2 linked regions of the Coturnix japonica genome follow. The protein of the gene in region 2 purifies or fractionates together with the protein of the main gene of each other region. This does not show direct contact. Links are inferred from orthologs where the notes say so. Each region holds a gene or a part of one and is shown on either strand. Other genes may lie near its edges.

Region 1 (3,656 bases), about 210 kb from region 2:
CTTACAAAGCTCCTGTAGCACAGCAGCCTCCTGAGCATTTTACTGAATAAAATATAAATCATAGCTCATTAAATAAAGTAGCAGATCAGTGCGCTAATTCCCACAGCACTGGCCAATAAAACAAGCTGGAAGAGTCCATTAGCATGGGGCATCCCAGTAATTTGTGCTGAATTTCACAGCTGATTCAAAATAATGACAAATCAAGGCAGCAAAATTCCTACAATAGCCTGGGAAAGGAAGGGAGATGCAAAAGACTTTTCTTGCAATCTCCAGAGAAGTTACCTACACATCATTGAATTCTTCCAGAGACTTGGCAGGGGTGAACACATCCAGCAAGCCGATCACCTGGAAAAACAAAGTGAAAAAGTCACGAAAAACATTAATCATCTGAATGATACAGTCAGTAAGGTCCTTTGTGGAACAGAAACTACTCCTTCCAACAGATGTTTCATTTCCAACTATATGAATCATTTGGATGTAAGCAAATGAGTATTTGTACAAGGTCAGAAACAAGCATTCAAATACTAAGTAAAAAAAAAAAAAAAAAAAAGATAGTCAAAATATACAGCTGTCTTTTACACCAACCATCTACTTACAACATCAAGCAGGAGCCACAGCAAGCCAAGGCAATAAAAGGCAAGTGTCAGCACTGGTTAAAAATACCTTATTTAAAACCCAGCTGAAGTTTGGTGAGTAAATAAATGGATGAGCAAACACGAGGCAGAAATCAGTTTGCTTCCTGCTAGGTTCTTAGTTGTGCTGTTGACTATATACTAGATCAGCAGCAGGAGACTTTTTTTCACTCGCACTGAGTAATAGCTAGAGGAAGGAAACCACCAATAATCTCTGCTGAAAGCAACAAATAATGTCTACACTGGAAAATAAGAAGTGAAATGAGTCTCAAAAACAGCATGCTGCATCACAGAGCCAAATTTCACTAAGAGCTGAGAGCTTCACACTGCCATTTATATCTGCTGCCCTAAGAGTCTCCACTCTACCCCTCATTTTCACAGCTAAGCTGTTCCAGCAGTGGAGAGCAAAAGGGAACGTATGTGTTACCTCATGGAAATGCACAATTATACCTCATCACTCTGTAGGCAATAAGGAATAGGTCATGGACATTTCATTTGGAAAACAATCCATCTGGTCCATAAAATTGTTTGAATTTCCACTGAGATTTGCTTTTAAAAATTATCCTTCTCTTAACAGCACAGCATTACTTAGGATTATGAAATAAAGGTACAGACTCCTTCCTCCTATTTTAGGCTTGCATCTCACCTGCCTTGGATTCATTCGCATCACACACATTTCAGTAACTTCAGCAGTGGTTCAAACATACATATTAAACAAAGTGTTGGATGCCAACGTTCCCTTTCAGCACATATTAATACCATCAATTGCAATTGTTAAGGATGACAAAATCAACCTTTTACCATTAACATCCATGCTTCAAAATAACTCCTATGCTTTCTTTGCTCTGTGGACTTCTCCATGCCAACGTTTACAAAAATTATGCAACATTATCCTCCCAGTTTAGCAGTAAAAAAAAACCAAAAACTGACCTTGTTACCAAGATTTCCATTTCCTCCCTTACCATTTCCATCTTGCTACAGTGTAAAGCACACTACTGAACTATCCATATATTTCTCACTGACTAGTTTCACACACAAATGCAATTACTCTGTAGCACAACACTGACAGTTCTAACCATACTGGTCATCCCCAGACCAAGAATCAGCTCCTGAATTTCTGCACTCCCCTTCAATTTTAGGTTGTTAACTTCTTCATACAACACTAAAGTTGACTCTCACACCTGCTCAGTATTCTGCCTTATGTAAGCTAATGAGGCCTCCTGGAGCCTGAACATATAACAGAACCATGCTTGACTGCTCCACAGGCCGATTTATTTGTTCAAGATCAACACAATCAGTCTAGATATAGAACAGAAAACCATCCCTGCTCAAGATCCTTGAAACATTGTACCTACCACATTTGCTGAAGTGTTCTACGTCATGTAAAGCAGGGTATTTTACTTCCAAACTGAGATCTGAATAGACAGCTCGCTTGAACTAACCAGCCTACCTGAACTGGCTCTGAGCATCTTCACATCTGCAAGATTTTAAACCACACCCAGATAAAAATCCCACAGACAGCAGTATGATGAACTGACAGTAAACACTTCTATATACAAAAAAATTCTAACAATATAATCTTATCTCCTACTCTCAAAGCTACACATGCACTTCACGACACTATTCAAAAGTATTAATGAACACCAGACACAGAGCTGCTGTAGCACCAGGCTAATTCCCACTGTGGAACCATAGAATCATAGAAATCTAACCCAATTAGCTCAGACAGAATGGATCAATGTGCTGATGCAGAGATACATCTAAACACATTCTCCAAACAGTTCCAGAGCAAAGCTTTGAATATATTTCTGGTATGAGAAAAGGTAGAGAAAAAAAAAAACCTCAGGGGGATGGATATTAAGCAGGATCGATGGATGGCTGCCTCTGTTACTCAGATAACAGCATCACATAGAGGCACTGAGGAAGTACTGCTGAGTTCAGGCTGCGCGTGCACCAAAAGGTCCAATTACATCAGCCACACTGTCAACACAAACAAGATTCAAGCAATACCATCTGCTTGCTGTGGCAGAAAGAAGCCACGGCACAAAACCACCACTGCCACAAAAGAAGTTCTGATCCGACCATTCAGGGAGAAGCTCCCATCAAAATTGGGCTTGCTTGTTGCGTTAAAAACACTAGGCTTGCTCAGTCCACTTCTAAATCAGTATTTCCCTTCTGCTACATTGGAGTTCACTTGTACAAAAATTAAGAGCCTTCCTTTTCTCTTGATGTTGACAGCTCTAAAGAAGGCAAGATAATTTTTGCTCAATTGCAGGCAATATTTTCTCTGAACAGCATGCGATATAAATATACCAGTGTGTTAATGCCACAAACACAAAGAACTGCTCAAGTGGTTTCCACAGCAAATGGAAGTTAAACAGAAAAAAATGATTAGACAGCATATAGCATAGCTTAGTATAAGCATTCATGGTCTGTGTTGTTGAAATGGATGGCTTACAAGAACAGATGTCTGATATCTTCCCCTCCCCTTTTTTATTCCTGTTCATCTACAGGAATCTAGTGAACAACTGCTCCAACCCTTTCTGACATGATGACACAAAGCAAGAAAGAAAGCCTTCCATCACGATTCACTGTCTACTGCAAGCTATGTACTTACTATCTGAAAAACCTGTGCAATCAGCCTGGAATGCAATCACACCAGGTAGCCCAGCTTCTCATATAATCTCCTTCTACTTACATTTTCATGTTTCATGTGCTTCAGTAGCCGTAGCTCTCGGTAGGTCCTTTTGGCATGGATGATAGACTGAAATGGTCGGGACAGCTTCTTTACAGCCACTCGCAACCCAGTTTTTGTGTCAAAGGCAGAACTACAACAAAGAGTAATCAAATAGTCAAAATGAATCACTTATAAACACCCTCAAATCCATTTAGCAACTACAAATAGAGGCTGCGCAGGCACTGAGTCACACAGCCGATTCCATTTCTCCCTCTCCACCACCAATAACATCCAGGCTTCCTGGCCTGCAACCTGGCTGCAAATTCCCACACACAGATATAAATGCT
Region 2 (3,392 bases):
TTCCCAGGACATACCCTGATGTAGCCAGACCAGATGGAGCACTTCACTTTGCCCCTGACATTGCAGGAGCCATGGGATGGCATTTCGCAATAACACAGCAATAGCTCAGCATGGCCCCAAGGAGTGCACGGGGAATAAATACAGGGAGGACTGAGATACCCAGATAGTGCCGTGGTAATGGCTGATAAGTGCCTTGAACAGATTGAGTGGGTAGAAATTGAGATTGAAAGACAAGGAAACTGCTGAACCGATTGTGATCAGCATCAGAGAGCTCATCTGGCAAAACTCCCAGCCCCGATAGGAAATCTGAGAGGGGTTACAACATCCCCTCCCCCCTCGCCAGCTACTGGGTCTCTGCCTGTCTTGGGAGAACCTTTGTACAGCTCCTGCCCTGACGGCTCTCTCCTTGATAGGCATCTGGAAGCATGAGACGAGTTGCACGTCCTGCTGGATGCGAGTGCGAGGAAAGGCCTTAGTGTGGTTTGCTCTGCTTTGTTAGCTCATGGCCACCACCTGAAAACTGCAAGGATGCAGAGAGACTGTGGGGACACACACAGAGGGCTTCCCTCTCTTCCTGGGCTGCTGAGATGACAGGAGAATGGCAGAATTAAGGATGAAACATTTCTATTTACACAGTGAAAAAGAAACAACAAAATGGGTGTATTATTTTGCTCTGATTCCAACAGGAAAAAAAACCAACCTCAAGAAAACAACCCCCCCACCCTCGTGTGGGTTACAGCTTGGAGCACAGTGCTTGCAAAAGTGCAGACACACTTAAGAGTATCCCCTACTTTAAGGCAGGTGGGAAGGCAATGGCTGAAGGCAGAGAGGAAAGCAGGCCATGTAATGAAGGCAACCAGCAATGCAGCTTTGGAATAAATCCTCCAGGTGCGTCTTTAGCAAGAAGAGCATCGAGGAGTGTGCTGGGAGTGAGCCCCGTGTGTGCCAGCTTCTGCCCACAGATGATGTGCAGCTGGAGGAAAAGCTCTGTTGATTTCTAGCAGGCAGACTGCTCAGCATCAGTCCTCTTCTGCGTAGTGCATCCTGCTGCGTGCCTTGTGCAAACCCCAAACTCTCATTGCCCTGAGGGTCATGGGGCCGCAATCCCAATGGCTTTGCTCAGCCTCTGGGAGGCTCAGGCTTATGGCTGGGTGCAGCAGGAGCAGATTTAGCAGAGTTGTCCCCAGGTTTGGCACTGAGGGAGTTCAGAGCGAGGCAGCAAGCGGTGGAGCCCCGTGCTAATGGCCTCCTGCATCTGGCAGCTGGGAAGCATACAGGGCTAGTGTGTGATGGAGAAACTGGTACTGCTCACTGGTCTGGATCATCCCGCCTCTGCAAAGGAAATGCTGACACTCACCAAAACCCCAGCCCTGCTCCCATGGCACAGACATTCCTGTGTCACCCACCCCGTCTTTATGCACCCAGAGCTCCTCAAAGAGTGTCTGGCCATGTTTCAGAGGTCAGTGGCTGAGCTGGAAGGAGCACAACAGCTGATGGGTTCGGGGCTGCTCTCCTTCATGACTTTGGGTTCCCAGAGCTAAAATAACCCTGACAACAAAACCAATCCAGCACTGGGTAATCCTTTGTTGTCCCCACATCTCCATCTTTCAGAAAGCCTTCCATTTTCTACCACAAATCACCTCCACACCTCCTTGGGATGCTCATCCCTGTAACCTCCCGCATCCCTCCTGCATCCAGCAGCATCCTCCAGGGACACCTGCCTGAGCACCAACCTGTCAATGCGGAGGCGGCACACGATTCCCAGGATGTCCACATCTCCCTTGTCCTTCAGCTGCTGGCACCCAATCCTGGTAGCAATGAAGCAGCCCGTCCGACCAATGCCTGCACTGCAGATGGACACAGCTGTGCTGAGCACCCACAGCGCCTGGACCTTAGGCCTTCTGAGCTGGGTGTGCTCCTTGGCTGCTTTGCTACCCTGATTTATCCCTATAGGGATGCAGAGGTCCCAGTCCCAGCTTTCTCAGGCTAGCCCCATTCTGCCACCACAAGTGCTTCTTGCCATACTGCTCAGCCCACCTGCAACCACTCTGGAAGCACAAAACCAGTCTGTGCCTCTGTCCTATGCTGGGGGACACCTGCTGGGGGTTTGCTGTGCCCTGGGATTTCTGCATGGAGAATGGATCATGGGTGTGAGCCCAAGCTGGGGAGCAGGGGTGAGGGCTGAGCACTTACCTGCAGTGCACAACAATGGGCCCCAAGCTGGCTGCAGCCTGCAGAGTCTCTTCCACTTTGGACACCAAGTGCAGCAGGGGCTTGGCTGACTCAGGTGTCTGCTGGTCTGGCCACGAAGGGAAGAGGATGTGTTTGATGTGGCGGCATTCACCTTCCAGCTTTTCCAGCACAGAAGAAAGAGAAATAAAGATGAGATGGGGTCAGATGGAGATGTTCCCATCCTGTGTGCCCAGCCTGTGCCCACCTCATCTGCTCTCCTCCTTGACTCATTGAGTCTTTACCAGAGACCCAGGGAGCAAGGGACACTTTTGGGTGTCTGAGTGATGTACTGAGGAGAGTTCCAGTCATGCCCAGGAGCCCCACTTAATTTCCATGCTGACACCCAAGGCTCATCCTGCACAAGTCTTGTTTCATGCAAACCTCATTGAGCAGACAGAGCTCTGCAGATTCCTCCTCCTACAGAGCCTGGGCATTTCAGGTTTCCACCAGGTGCTGAATACCCTGCTGACCCCAGGACGGGGCTTGGACCCACCTGGATGGACAGATTGCGGACCACGTACTCTGCACACTCGTTAATCCCCTGCACACGGATGGTGAAGGGGCCGTAGGTGCCTTCCTTCTCAGGCCAATAGTGGACACATTTCTGCAGGAAGAAAGCAGTATTTGTGCTCTGGGCACCCTCTGCGGTCTAAGCTATCCTTTGGACATTGCTTTTGTGAGGTCTGGAGAAGCGAGGAAGGTGGATGTGGACTGATAAAAGGGAAGATAAGGAAGGACAGATCCCGCTTCCAACACTTGCTTCCCCTGCACACTTTACCCACACCCTGCCATGTGATTTTCAGCCCCTGGGGAGCTACACCTTTGCCCATCCATGTCCTGCTAGATCCAGGTGAAAGGTGCAGGTAAACGCCCTGAGGGATGCTCCAGCAGCCAGGGAGCAATGGGGCAAAAAATAGGGCCAGGTGAGTGTGTGAGCTCCCACTGTTCCTGGAGCATGGAGCCAGCAATCCCAGCAAGGTGCAGTGCAGCCACCACACAGGGCACAGCTGCTAGTTCCCATCACCTGGATCTGTATCTGGGAGCTCCCAGAGGCTGCCCTGTTTCTTTTTATCCTATTATTCATCTAGCAAAGCACATCCAGAGCAAGTGAAGTTGATGGAGAAGAGGAGGCTTTGCTAGATGGGGTCCAAGTTGCAGCC

Evidence for each region. Proteins that work in one complex are often made in the same cells at the same time.
Region 1: the proteins of PTPN7 (region 2) and MAPK14 purify together in Homo sapiens (affinity purification with mass spectrometry; 3 studies listed by BioGRID and IntAct, with this or other methods). This does not show direct contact. The link is inferred for Coturnix japonica from reciprocal best matches to the Homo sapiens genes PTPN7 and MAPK14.

Annotation. Positions count from the first base shown.
Region 1 is NC_029541.1:528,255-531,910, reverse strand, and holds part of MAPK14 (mitogen-activated protein kinase 14), read right to left. Parts: intron 3,461-3,656; coding exon 3,331-3,460; intron 346-3,330; coding exon 287-345; intron 1-286. UniProt on the Homo sapiens protein: Serine/threonine kinase which acts as an essential component of the MAP kinase signal transduction pathway.
Region 2 is NC_029541.1:733,868-737,259, forward strand, and holds the end of PTPN7 (tyrosine-protein phosphatase non-receptor type 7), read right to left. Parts: intron 2,837-3,392; coding exon 2,726-2,836; intron 2,352-2,725; coding exon 2,194-2,351; intron 1,848-2,193; coding exon 1,734-1,847; intron 1,333-1,733; coding exon 1,239-1,332; 3' UTR 608-1,238; downstream 1-607. UniProt on the Homo sapiens protein: Protein phosphatase that acts preferentially on tyrosine-phosphorylated MAPK1. Plays a role in the regulation of T and B-lymphocyte development and signal transduction.